Linked DNA regions of Astyanax mexicanus. The protein of the gene in region 2 interacts with the protein of the main gene of each other region in a biochemical or structural test. Links are inferred from orthologs where the notes say so. Each region holds a gene or a part of one and is shown on either strand. Other genes may lie near its edges.

The links.
Region 1: the proteins of ston2 (region 2) and syt1a form a complex in vitro, tested with the Homo sapiens proteins (2 studies listed by BioGRID). The link is inferred for Astyanax mexicanus from reciprocal best matches to the Homo sapiens genes STON2 and SYT1.

What each region holds. Positions count from the first base shown.
Region 1 is NC_064409.1:25,636,802-25,644,032, forward strand, and holds the start of syt1a (synaptotagmin-1a), read right to left. Parts: upstream 3,019-7,231; 5' UTR 2,950-3,018; intron 1-2,949. UniProt on the Homo sapiens protein: Calcium sensor that participates in triggering neurotransmitter release at the synapse. May have a regulatory role in the membrane interactions during trafficking of synaptic vesicles at the active zone of the synapse.
Region 2 is NC_064421.1:7,591,062-7,599,022, forward strand, and holds the start of ston2 (stonin-2), read right to left. Parts: upstream 3,004-7,961; 5' UTR 2,776-3,003; intron 1-2,775. UniProt on the Homo sapiens protein: Adapter protein involved in endocytic machinery. Involved in the synaptic vesicle recycling. May facilitate clathrin-coated vesicle uncoating.

The DNA.
Region 1 (7,231 bases), on a different chromosome or scaffold from region 2:
GTGAACGGTGAAGCTAAATGCTAAATAGGAGTTTTTACAGTGGTTAATATGCTCTGATGCACATGATTAACTTGGCTTTGGCCCGATCACCATGGTGTGGTTTAGCGGGCATCACTGTGCTTATTCTAAGTGCTAATGTATTCCAGAATTGGGTCTCTGCTGAAGGGCATAAGCTCAAAGTTCCAGCTGAGTGGTACCGACCCTCTGGACTAGCAGACCGGCCACTGACCACCAGCCATGAACAGATAGGGACCAATGACCACTGGACTGGCAGCTTGCCAGATCAGCTCAACAGACTCAAACACAGGCTTTGGCATACCATAACCATGATACATTGATCAGCCATAAGATTAAAACCACTTCCAGTTTAACAAAATAGCATTGATCCTGTAACAGTTTTGCATATATTAGGCAGCGAGTGAATAGTAAGTTCTTAAAGTTGACATGTTAAAGCAGAAAAAAAGCTTAAGAATCTGCAAGACTTTAACCAGAAACAAACTAATCTTCCAGTTCAGAACATAAAGAAGGTGTTGTTAACGGTATGCAGTGGTCAATACTAGCGGTGCATATTTCTCCCTCTACAGCCCATAATATCATTATACCATTTACGCAATCAGTGAGAGCACAAGCTGAACTCTAGTGATCTCCAATCCCTCAAGAACCATCATTCAACAATATCTGATAAAACCACATTAACCAGAGATTACTTTACTAACCTTTATCATTAACAAGCTCTACAATACAGAGTTACTATATTCACTAATACCACTCACAACTTTACTGTACAGAACACAAGCTCTACAATACAGAGATACTATATTCACTAATACCACTCACAACTTTACTGTACAGAATACAAGCTCTACAATACAGAGTTACTATATTCACTAATACCACTCACAACTTTACTGTACAGAATACAAGCTCTACAATACAGAGTTACTATATTCACTAACACCACTCACAACTTTACTGTACAGAACACAAGCTCTACAATACAGTTACTATATTCACTAATACCACTCACAACTTTACTGTACAGAACACAAGCTCTACAATACAGAGTTACTATATTCACTAATACCACTCACAACTTTACTGTACAGAACACAAGCTCTACAATACAGAGTTACTATATTCACTCATACCACTCACAACTTTACTGTACAGAACACAAGCTCTACAATACAGAGTTACTATATTCACTAATACCACTCACAACTTTACTGTACAGAACACAAGCTCTACAATACAGAGTTACTATATTCACTAATACCACTCACAACTTTACTGTACAGAACACAAGCTCTACAATACAGAGTTACTATATTCACTAATACCACTCACAACTTTACTGTACAGAACACAAGCTCTACAATACAGAGTTACTATATTCACTAATACCACTCACAACTTTACTATACAGAACACAAGCTCTACAATACAGAGTTACTATATTCACTAATACCACTCACAGCTTTACTGTACAGAACAGAAGCTCTACAATACAGAGTTACTATATTCACTAATACCACTCACAACTTTACTGTACAGAACACAAGCTCTACAATACAGAGTTATCTCCACCCAACAGAGCCTCAACCCACTACAGAGACCCTCCACTCACCATAGCTTCTTTACCTAGGCTTTTCATAGGCTTTACCCTCCAGAGTCTCCACCCACTCTTCAGAGCCTCCATCTGCCAAAGCCCCTACCCAATTTACAGAACATCCACCAACCTGAGCATCCACCTACTCTATAGAGGCTTTAATCTCCAGAGCCTCCACCCACTCTCAAGAGCCTCTATCCAATACACAGAGCCTCCTTCCACCGGAACCTCTACACGCCAGAGCCTCCATCTATAACAGAGAACCCATAAACCAGAGCCATCACCTGCTCTACAGAGCCTCCATTCACTACACAGAGCCTGCACCCACTACAGAGAGCATACAATCAACAGAGCTTCTACCTATTCTCTACCTTCTAAAGCTTACACCAGCACTACAAAGCATCTACACGCCAGAGCCTTCACCTGCTCTGCAGAGCCTCCACCTGCCTGAGCATCCACCCATCAGAGCCTCTACCCATCAAACCCACAACTTGCTCTACAATGCCTCCACCTGCCTGAGCCTGCCCCTAACTGAGCCCCTATTGATCAGAGCCTTAATCCACCATAGCCTCCACCCTCTCTACAGAAGCTCTACCTTCTAGAGCCTGCATCTACTCTAAAGAGCCTCCATCCCTACTCAATTTACAGAGCGTTCACCAACCTGAGCATTCCCCTACTCTATAGAGGCTTTCTCCTCCAGAGCCTCCACCCACTCTTCAGTGCCTCCACCTGTTTTACATACTGGGGGAACCCTCAGCACTCGGAGAACAGGTGGGATGTGATGGGTTACAGGTGTAAAGTGGAGGCAGGATGGATGAGCCGTGTCTTCAGAAGCTCAGGAAACCTTTGATCTTGTTTGCTTGTTTGAGATGTGTTCTGTTCACTTATATATACCTCAAATTCACATTGTTAACATGCATTTATATAACACCACTCATCCGACTTTAGAGATCACACCTCCTTTTTTTTAGTTTGTGTGCAATCCTCTCACACCTTTATATAGTATATATACACACATATACATACCCATACAGTATATATAAATATAAAGTATATACAAAGCAGTTCCAGTTCCAGTTCCACAGTTTAATATACAGCAGAAGAAGGAAACCCTGCTCAGCTCACACTGGCATCTCCATCGATACCACCAAGCTGCCATATATCTGAGTGTGCATCTGTGTGTGTGTGTGTGTGTGTGTGTGTGTGTGTGTGTGTGTGTGTGTGTGTGTGTGCCAGGGATGCCACCAATCAGTGTAAATGCCAAGGGTGTGTTGTGTCTGATCCAGTGCATCTCTGTCCAACCCAAAGCAGCAGAAACAGAACCAAGCTCGCTCGCCTACCTTCAGCTGCAGAGACGCTGTTGATCGCCCCGACCCGAAGGAGGATGTGGAGAGAGAGAGGGATGGAGGAGAGCAAGAGAGGGACGCAGAAGGAGGAGCCTTACCAGGGAGTGGTGGAGCGAGAGAAAGAGAGAGAGAGAGAGAGAGAGAGAGAGAGAGAGAGAGAGAGAGAGAGTAAGAGAGAGAGAGAGAGAAAGAGAGAGAGGCTGACGTTATTATCTGTGAAACCCACAGGGATGCTTGTGCCTGACAATGTGATCCCACTGATAGAGAGAGAGAGAAAGAGAGAGAGAAAAGAGAGAGTAAGAAAATTATTAAAAATCAGAAAAGAGACAAAGAGACAAAGTAGTACAACAATAAAAGAGAGATAAATGAGAAGAAAATAAAATAAAAAATAAGGATTAAGAAAGTGGGAAAATGAAAAAAGGAGAAAATAATAAGAAAAAAGGAAACAGAGACAGACAAGGACTGAGGCAAGAAGTGAAAGAAAAAGAAATTAAGAGAAAAAAAGAAATGAAAGAAAAAAAAAATATGAAATGAAAGAAGTAGTGAGAAATAAATAAGAGACAATATAGAAATGAGAGTGACCAATTGAAAAATTAGTGTAAAATTAAAGAGAGTCAGAACTGAAAGATTGGAGAGACAGGAATAAGAAATAAGAGAGAGAGAGAGAGAGTGATGAGAGAGAGAGAGAGAGAGAGAGAGAGAGTGATGAGAGGAGAGAAAAAGGAATGAAAGAAAAATTAAGGAGAAAGAAATTGTGTGAATGTTTGAAACAATGGGTAATGGGTAACAATAGAGAGTAAGAAAGAGATAGAGAGAAGATAAAAATGAGAACTAACATATTAAGAAAAATATGAAGAGAAACAGAGAAAGTAGGGAAAATAAAGAGAGATAAAGATAAAGAGAAAAAGAAGAGAGAGAGAGTTACTGTAATGAAGGGGATTTCTTGCCTGTTTAATTGTTAGCATCACTGCTCTCCCTCTCCCTCTCTGGCTCTCTCTCCCTGTTGGAATCCCCCCAATCAGAAGGACCAGGATGAAGTCCTTGGTTCTGATTGGATGCTCAGTCGTGATGAGAACGGCAACGGTTTTCACAGCTGAGATCAGCCCTCAGAGTGTGGAAATTAACACACACACACACATACACTCGGAGCACTGGGACAATGACGAGCAAGGACATCCCCTCGAGAGACATACAGTAAGTGTGTGTGTGTTAAAGGGGAACTTCACCAAATTTAAAATTCTCCACATAGTTTTATAATAACAAAGTGAACATAGGGTTTGTTATGGAACGCTTGGTTCTAGATAATCATCCCCTGTTAGAACAGTTCACTATAATGGTGAATGGAAGCAGACAGATGAAGCTCTAAAACAGCTCCTAACAGCAACAAATGGCAGAAAATAGTCAGTAAAAAAAACAGTATTCGCTCAGATGATGCACATTTTACCAAAAACATTCCATATAAAACTAAGAACAAGCCAAAGTTATAGAAAAGAAACTATTGTCATGTCCTGTGATTTTTAACATGTTCAATGCAAGCTAAAAAAACATTGCTCTGGCACGTGGGATATGTGGACCTCAATATTAAACCTTACTCCAACTCCCATAATTCACCTGCACCCACTATCAGACCACACTCCAACTCCCATAATTCACCTGCACCCACTATCAGACCTCACTCCAACTCCCATAATTCACCTGCACCCACTATCAGACCACACTCCAACTCCCATAATTCACCTGCTCCCACTATCAGACCTCACTCCAACTCCCATAATTCACCTGCTCCCACTATCAGACCTCACTCCAACTCCCATAATTCACCTGCACCCACTATCAGACCTCACTACAAATCCCATAATTCACCTGCACCCACTATCAGACCTCACTACAAATCCCATAATTCACCTGCACCCACTATCAGACCTCACTCTAACTGCCATAATTCACCTGCACCCACTATCAGACCTCACTCCAACTCCCATAATTAATCAGCACCCAATATCAGACCTCACTCCAACTCCCATAATTCACCTGCACCCACTATCAGACCTCACTCCAACTCCCATAATTCACCTGCACCCACTATCAGACCTCATTCCAACTCCCATAATTCACCTGCACCCACTATCAGACCTCACTCCAACTCCCATAATTCACCTGCACTTGCTATCAGACCTCACTCCAACTCCCATAATTCACCTGCACTTGCTATAAGACCTCACAACAGGTGTTTATATGCATTCCCACTTCACAATCTAGTTCCTGTACAAATGACTGTCCCGTTACTTTTGGCATGTGTTCTATGATTTCTAAACTGCTAAAAAGCTTATTTCTACAGTAATTCACTGTTTTTGATGCAGCATGCGTATTGACATATTCAGCCTACAGCTGTTTAGTTCCACCCACTCACACTGAAGACAAGCATAGTGTTTTGGTTCCAGCAAAAGTCACCAAAAGTTTCACAGACTGCTGACACAAATGTGCAAATGCACACACACAGCTTGTTTAGCCTCTGTCATTGAAACTTGTTGCCAATACAATAGGACTCTCTGGAGATAAATGTTTAAATATGAAGATTTTGGCACCATGCTTAATATCAGGTGTAGTTCAGAGGGGTGGAGTTCCATTCAGTACTTTTGGCCATATATTGTAAAATAAAATAGGGGTATGGTGTAATGTACAAGCCCTGGCCTGCCACTTCACACACACACACAGAGACACACACACAATCTCTGAGAGATTGTGATTTCCCAGGAGAGCTCCATCAATAGCAGCCATGTGATTGTGTGTGTGTGTGTGTGTGTGTTCTGGCAAGGGCATGTACTAATTAAAGAGATGAATTCAGAGGCTAAGTTGACCTCTAGTCTGGAAGGAGGATTCTAACGGACCCGCTATTATTCCGACCCGAGTTCATTAATACTGAACCAGCCTGCAGACAGTCCAAACACACACACACACACACACCAGTCATGCATAATATTATGACTGCCTGATGTGTTAGCGTGTGTTGTCTGGGTATGAGTGGATCAGATACAGCAGTGCTGCTAGAGGTTTTAAACAATGTGTTAAATCACTCACTCTTTTACACACTCCTACCTACAGCTGCTTCACCTTTTAGATAAAATAAAGACACAGACAGAAGTTTGTGTTGCTCATTCTCAAGTTTTTCATCAGTTCCCACAGGATGCTACCCACACAATGCCACCCACAGGACATTGCCCACAGTACACAGTACTGCTGTATTTTTGTTCCATTTGTGTCAGCACAACACACACTAACACCTTATGCATCAGGGTCCTGAGCATTAGGGAACAGGGTGGTTAATAATTGACAAGAGGTTAATAATAAGGTATGGACAGAAATAGATACAGGACTACAGTCTGTAATTATGGTGGCCAGTAGGTGTTTCCAATAACTTGGCCATATAGTAAGTGGAAGAACAATGTAACGTAGGTGTCTTGCAATAAAGTGACCATGTAGTGAGTGAAGACACTAGGTTGAGTAGGTGTTTCCAGTAAAATGGCCAGTAAGTGTAAGCAGGAATGTGAAGGTTGTGAAGCGAGGCCTGTATCCAGATAACAGCACAGCCGAGAGTTTCTAATGTATTGAACGTTAACTTTGGGGTGTCTGTAATGTGGCATTACCACACTGCCAAGCGGGTTCATTGGGTATAAACACACTCCAGTGTTTGCGCAGTGTTTTGAATGTTTTCTTGCAGTGTGTGTGTGTGTGTGTGTGTGTGTGTTTTGAGTTCCTGAGGACAGTCGTTGCAGACGCTGTGCAGCAAATGATCCTTTTCACAGCCGGAGCTGCCAACCAAGTACCAACTCGCTGGCAGTAAATGTAATTTGATGAGAGCAATGACTTTCTCCACTGCCACACACACACACACACACACCTGAACCTGCAGACCCTGCAGTTTTATGCATAATAAACAGAAGCTGCATGCTGCCGTGTGCCCGCTGAGGTGCCACCCTTCTGGAATCAGTTCCATAAGCTGACTTTGCGCATATGTCCACCCTTATAGAGGGTATACTATAGAGGGTGCCATACTGATAAATAATATACAGTATATAATATACACTGAACTGTCTGATAAGGTCGTCTGCTCTTTGATCTTCCCTTGACTCATCAGATGTTACATTTCACACATTTGATGTAACTTTGATAAGAAGTTCAAAGACAAAACTTCAAAGGGACACTTCTAAGCTTTCATGACAAAGCTAACAGTAGGAAGACTCATCTTAAAGGCATAGTTACCCAGGATATTCAGAGA
Region 2 (7,961 bases):
TTTTAAGTAAAAAGCTTAAGATGATACAGAAGTATTTAACCTCTACTATCTATACTGCAGAGTAATGAATGGGAACACATTTTCCTGACCAACAGTTAAGAGAGTAGAAAGTAGAATCTTTCTACTCTACCATTGGTTTACCACATGCTTATACACTGTAATTATTACACTCTTAAAAACCAAAGTAGGCACAAAGAAACTGGAGTACTCAGAGGAAACCCATGCAGATACAGGGACAGCACACACACTTTCTCACAGATAGTGACCAAAACAGAGATCGACCCCACATCCCTAGGCCCTACTTGTGCACTACCGATGCCACTGTGTGATTAAAGAGCTGAATTAAAAAAGCATTAGTTGAAAACTACAGCTTTGGAAAAAAAACAAAAAGACCACTTCAGTTTCTGAATCAGTTTCTCTGATTTTGCTATTTATAGGTTTATGTTTGAGTAAAGTGAACATTGTTGTTTTATTCTATAAACTACAGACAGCAATTCTCCCAAATTCCAAATATAAATACTCTCATTTAAAACATTTATTAGCAGAAAATGAGAAATAGCTGAAATAACAAAAAAGATACAGAGCTTTCAGACCTCATATTCATAAAGTTTTAAGAGTTCAGAAATCAATATTTGGTGGAATAACTCTGTTTTTTTATCACAGTTTTTATGCATTTTGGCATGTTCTCCTCCACCAGTCTTACACACTGCTTTTGGATAACTTTATGTCTTTACTTCTGGTGCAAAAATTCAGGCAGTTCAGTTTGGTTTGATGGTTTGTGATCATCCATCTTCCTCCTGATTATATTCCAGAGGTTTTCAATTTGGCAAAATCAAAGAATCATCATTTTTAAGTGGTCTCTTATTGTATGTGCATTTGCACATCTGTGCCAGGAATGGGTCTAATTTAAATTAAATAAAAGCTTTTATTAGGAGGGGTGTCCACAAACAATTGGATGGACGTGAACTGAATGTACTGAAAGTTAAAATTAAAGTTTTAAAATTAAAGACTACTCAAACATAAATGCAGTTCCATTGAGGTATGAATGGACTTTTAATAAATGCATTTTCAAGTAGATTCAGGAATATTTGATACCTGTAACTGCACTGATTTCTGCAGTGCCAAGAGTTTATTCACACATATTGATATTTTATCCACATATCTACTCAGAGACTGATACAACAGACTACTGTCCAACTCTGAACAGAACACTGTGGACAACACACCACTAGACACCAGTCCTGATCCAAACACAGGCCTGATTAAATCAGACAATGTCCTGCTTATGCAACTGCTGAGCAACTGTTTTTCTCCACTCCTGCAGCCGGTAATATGAATACATCACCAAACAATGTGGAACTGATGCTTCATCAAGACAAGAAGATGAGCTCTGGGTAAGGAATGCATTACTAAACTGAGGCAGATTCAATCAATTACTGTGACTTTTAGAAACTTCAGAGAGTTTATTCAGAGAACTGAATAGTTTACATAATATAATATTAATTATACCACAGTTAGTTCCGACCCTGCAGTGTGATTGGCTGAGAAGAGTTTTATGAGTGACATTATCAGCCGGTAATGCACTTTAACCAAAGCTCTCCATGTATTACTGGTAACCTAGCAACAATGCAGCGCTTACAAGCCAAATACAAATACAAATGCGATATCATTATACACCACTGGGAGCCGCTGGATCCCATAGACAAAGTGAATAAACACCATGTCTCCAATAGGCGGTGCGGACAAAGACGCGGTCCCACAAATAAATAAGCTTAACGATTCAAAAATACACTTTATTACACACATTATCAGCCACCAATATCATGTTAAGAGTTGTTATCAATAAAATAAAAGCTTAAATGTATATATTTTCCAGTTCATTCAAACGATTGCTAATCTTTAACCACTTATAAATTATGAGTTTCTTTGATTTTACCAAATTGAAAATCTCTGGAATATAATCAAGAGGAAGACGGATGATCACAAGCCATCAAACCAAACTGAACTGCTTAAATGTTTGCACCAGAACTAGCATAAAGTTATCAAAAGCAGTGTGTAAGACTGGTGGAGGAGAACATGATGCCAAGATGCGTGAAAACATGTGGGTTAATGCACCAAATATTGATTTCTGAACTCTTAAAACTTTATGAATATGAACTTATTTTCTATGCATTATTTGAGGTTTGAAAGCTCTGCATCTTTTTTGTTATTTTAGCCATTTTATTCAAACATAAACCTATAAATAGCTAAATTGGTTAGACTGATTCAGAAACTGAGGTGGTCTCTTAATTTTATCCAGAGCTGTATACATGTTATTTCCTGGGCACAGAAATGGCACTGATTCGGTGGAATATGTCATGTACTTTTCCATATTACGTATACTTTTAAAAAATAACTTAAATGCACTTTTCTTTTCCAAATGAATGCCTCCAGCTATAAACCCATAGCAAATAGAAACAATAAAACAACAGATTAAAGCAAAACTCAGTCTGAAATTCGCGTATATCGTAAAAATAAGCTGGAAAATGATCTGAAATGCTGTAAAATGATGAAAAAGAGAAGGAAAAATTAAGAAAATCTGTGAATATAATCCATATATAAACTATTTCTCTAAAACAACCTGTTCAGAGCCGCTGCTGAGAGCGACTTCAGCGCTAAGCTTTAACCTGACACACAGAGACTCCGCTAAATCAGTTAAAATCCGCCATAAACCGCCAGAAAACGACAAAACACGCGAAGTTTTACAGCAAATAAACAATAAACAGGTAAACACACAGCGCGCGCTGATCGGGCTTACGCAGCGAATCTCCCGGGTAACCTCCGCCAGCCTGCTGGAATGTGATTGGCCGGTCGCCGCCGCCGCTGCTTTACGTCACCGCCGGGAGAAAAGTTCACACTGTTGCTCCTAAATCGACGAATTTCACGCAAATATCGTTAAAACGGAGGCCCTGCTCCTCTCCGCGCGCAGGACCGCGGGCACGCGATCACGCTACGCCGGATTTACTGCCTTTATCCGCGGTTTCGCTTTAAACCCAGCAGTTCCCGCGCGCCCCCTGCCGGCTGCGCTCCAGCACTGCAGCCCCGCACTATGCACCGGCTTACAGTGAGCAGTGCATTACTCAATACTGCACCAATAAACTGTTTCAATGTGAATATAAGCTGTTTTTAATGAGCCAACACACTTAAAATATACTTATTTGTCAAGTTTTAGAGTTTCTTCACTTGCACAGCCATAGATTGTCCAGAAGGTGGCGACACAGTTCTTAAAACCATACATTATGTGTACATTTACCCTAAATATTTAATATTTACAACGTGTTTTCTTTCTTTTTATGATTTTATACATTGTAAATTCAGTATTGTATTGATGTGAGTCTGATCATGGATTTAATTGTATATATTTTAATTAAAGTGCAGACTAAACTTTCTAAAATTATTGTTCATAATAATTGAGGTCAAACATTCTTTTTTTGTTTACTACATCATTTTATATGTGCCCCTTAAGTGTTTTTACTATTTTTTATGTCTTTAATATTAATCTACAATGTAGAAAATAAATTAAATGAAGAGATAAAGAAAATAATTGAATGAGAAGGTGTGGTCAAACTTTTAACTGTTACTGTATATAACTAGTTATTATGAACAAATAAAACATAAAACAATAATAAAAAATGCAGACACATTAGGCTTCATTGTTTTTTTTAATAAGTTTGTTAAAATTGCATCATCATTTCTATTTTAATTCTAAGGCTTTGTATATGTTTTACTTCAGCCAAAGAAAAAAAAATAGTGAGCATTCAGAAATTTTCTTTATGAGTATAATATAAAAGTATATATAAAGTACCAGACAAAAGTTTCATTAGTTTCAAAGTGTCATGCATAATTAGCAGATATCCTACTATAACTACTTTTAATCGCATCAGTTATACTTATGTTAAATATTATACGAGTTTCTATTAATTTATAGTATTCTGCACAAACAGCTTAAGGTGGAATTTAAGATGGAATGGGGTAAAGGTGGAACAGAACATTCTGGGAAAATGCTAATGCTAACTTCAGCATATTTTAGAACTGCTGGTCTGTAATTTCTGGCCTATAGCTGCAGCTGCTCTCTGGCTCTGCTGATGGCAGCCTGTGTGTGTGAGTGTTTAGGACGCAGGTAGAAGGGGCCACAGGGCTTCCTATCCCATAGTGCACCACTGACCCACTCTACACTCTACCAGCTAGAGCCAGGAATTACAATGTTAAATTAATAATAGTGTTCTGGTTTGTTTTGTTACACTCACCTTGATTTTTTCAGTGCTGTAAAAATTAGGAACTATGCTCCCTTGTGTGGATTCTTCCCCTCACCTCTATATGAATCGATATTGGATCATTTAGAAGAATGAAGACTGATTTGAATTTAAAAAATGATTTTGAAACACACCCTCATATAGCCCTATCCGGACGGGATTAGTTTCTCAGAGGGTCCTGGTGTCATTTTCTTTTTTATCTAGGGTCCTCTGGGATTTTATTCCAGTCCGGAGCGACCATGTACGTGTTTTCCTCAGACGTCCTCTGAGAAAATTACAGGCTGAATTAAATACTGTTTTTCACTGAACTCCTTGGTCCTCCGGTAATTTTAGTCTTGTCCGGAGTTTCATCACCTAACGTTTAATAAAATAGCTATTTGTCCACTGCCATGCACTGTAATTACACTTTGGGTGCACGTTTCCACGGAGATCCATGTAAAAAAACACAACAGCGAGTGGAAATGAAGGAGCTACTGAACACGGTGTCATGTGACTGAGAAAGCCAAAAAAAACTCACTGATCCTCCTGTTTTTTCAGTCGTAGAGTAGAAGTGTGAAAATTTTCACAGATGTCCCCCTGAGAAACTAATCCCACCAACATTGAGTTTGAAACACACCCCTAATATAGCCCTATCTGGACCGAATTCATTTCTCAGGTATTAACTGAGGTAATCTTTTATGGGGGTCCTCTGTGATTTAATTTATTCCAGTCTGGAACGACCATGTACGTGTTTTCCTCAGATGTCCTCTGAGAAAATTACAGGCTGAATTACCTACTGTTATTCTCTGAACTCCGTGGTCCTCCGGTAATTATAGTCTTGTACGGACTGCAATCTCTGAGTTTCGTCTCCTCGCGTTTAATAAAATATTTGCTATTTGTCCATTGCCATGCACTGTAATTACAATTTGGCCACGTGTTTCTGCAGAGATCCTCGTACAAAAAAAACACAACAGCGAGTAAAAATGGAGGAGCTACTGAACGCGGTGTCATGACTGAGAAAGTGTAGAGTAGAAGTGTGAAATTTTTCACAGACGTCCCCCTGAGAAACCAATCCCACCAACATTAAGTGAAACATAATATAGCCCTATATTTAATGGGGATCCTCTGTGATTTAATTTATTCCAGTCCGGAACGACCATGCATGTGTTTTTCTCAGACATTCTCTGAGAAAGTTACAGGCTGAATTACCTGTGTGTCGCTGAACTCTGTGGTCCTTCGGTAATTTTAGTTTCGTCTCTTCACATTTAATAAAATAGCTATTTGTCCACTGCCATGCACTGTAATTACACTTTGGGTGCACGTTTCCACGGAGATCCATGTAAAAAAAACATAACAGCGAGTGGAAATGGAGGAGCTACTGAACATGGTGTCATGACTGAGAAAGCCAAAACAACTCACCATTACTCCTGTTTTTTCAACTGCAGTCTGGATACAAGAGTAATCCCATCCAGATAGGGCTTATGTGTGTAGATAGATTTCCGGTAGCACTTTATTTTAAGGAACACAAATTAGTCACTTACTAATGTCTTATTATTTGCTTAATAAAGCCTTAATTAGACATTTATAAATGATTTATTCACTACTTATAAGGCTTTAACACTTCTGTGTAAGTGTTATTGGTGCTTAATTAGCGGTCTGTTATGTGGAAATTATTAATAATGGCTGTATTAGTTCTTATAGCACAATAAATGGCTCATATTCTTGGGAATAATTTACCAGATTTCTAAGTTTGGCCCTTGTCCTCCAGTCTACATGGTATGTGGCATGTTGTGCTTCAGTCTGCGGGAAGACCAATTAGGTAACCACACACTGCTGAACATTAGGGAAAGTTGCTTTGCCAAGTCTAGTCTTTAATAAGGGACTGTTTACAGTGCGGTGATGGACTCAGGGCCTGGTCCAAGATCTAAACATTGCAGTGTGTGTGTGTGTGATCACTGCTGCCCGAGCCAGCTGCCTTTTCTAGATGAGAGAGCGATCCTCGTCCTCCTTAACTTCTCTGAGACTTTCTGCCCTGCCTATCGGTCATGCTTTCAAAGTCAGAAACATTTCTCTAAATCCCTCCGCAAAGAGAAAACTGGCTTTATTTATAGCAGTGGCGGCGGCAGCAGCAGCAGCAGGGTGAACTCTGTGTCTCTGTGTGTGTGTGTGTGTGTGTGTCTGTGTGTGGGTGTAAATTTCTGTGTGGAGTCGAGGAGACCCCTGTTGGGCTCTTTGAGTCCTTCAATGGAACGGCTAGCTCGCTCTCCGGCCACGATCGTCTGTGTTAGCGCGTTGCATAACCGCCAGTGACGCCTGTGCTCTAACACTGTTGCTAGGGACAGCAGTCGTCTGCCCCACAACCCCCCCAAACTGTCATCACTCGCACAGAGAACTTTTACCACCCCGTCACGCATCCCTGCCAGCGGCGCCTGTGCCAGGATGTTTTGGATGCAGGAAGGCAGGGGTTCTATAAACTGTAAACTCTGCTTATTATTATGTAAAAATGAAGAGCTGGAAAACAGAGCTGGAAAACATGAGCTGGAACATTATTGACAGTAGTGCTGGCGGAATGGATTATTCCCCTGAATGATCATTTATGATCTATAATTTTGGTCTGTTGAATACTTTAAACTCTCCAGCTTCTTCATCTTTGCTGTGTAAGCACTCAGACAGTAATGTAGCATGTCTCAGAACTCAGACGAAATTAATCCTAGTGTAACCAATGAAATGGGTGAAGCATAATGATGGAAAAGGCTGAAGCATAACAGTGGAAGTGGATGAAATATACAGTAAATATATGGAAAGGTTGTACCATTACAATGAAAGTGGATAAAGCAGTACTAACGTACTGATGGAGCATGATGTCCCATTCTAAATGTAAGGTTTTGTAAAATAACTGTACTAATTGTATTAAATTAACTGTATTCAACTTTAAGCATTTTAAGTGTTAAAGCAGCTTCACAATCATAAACATGCAAGTGTGGAACACAGAACCTTCTAGATATATTTTCTTTCTTGCTCCTGCGCCAGACAGCTCTGACCAATCAAAAGAGACAACAAGCTTTCGCATTTAGGTATACGCACCTGTGTGAAAACAAACCAAACTCCCAAGTAAACTAACTAATCAACTGATCCGGATCTGAGAAACTAACTACAGGTGTAAGAACACCCTTAGATTTAAGTTGCAGGAACCTGCAGGAAGGTCATTTTTAGGGACATGATATACTGTATGTTGTAAGAGCGAACCACTAGTAGAAACTGTCATATAGTACTATAAACGAGGGGGCAGATTTGGAGCTGGTGGGAGAAACAGTATGTTCTTCTTGGCTCCAATGGGAACTTTTACACTGATGCTGCTGTAGATGAACTTTTACTGCCCCAACATACGAACATCCATCTCAGAGCTCATCTTCAGGGCTTATGTTCCATTCCATGCCTCATTGTCCATGTTGTAGGTTCAGTATAAGATATGATGTAGGTGTGTGATGTGGTGATGGAAGGGTTTTGAGTAGAGGGAGAAGACTGCTAGGAGGCAGGGAAATGGATTTCTCTGAGCAGATGCATGAAGCACATCAGCAGTTCAAGGTTAGAGCCTCCTCATCCCCAGCCCTTCATCCATTCTACATTATGACCATAATTTATCCCCCGGTTAACCTACTTTCATAGCAATTAAAAACCCAAGGCAAGTCT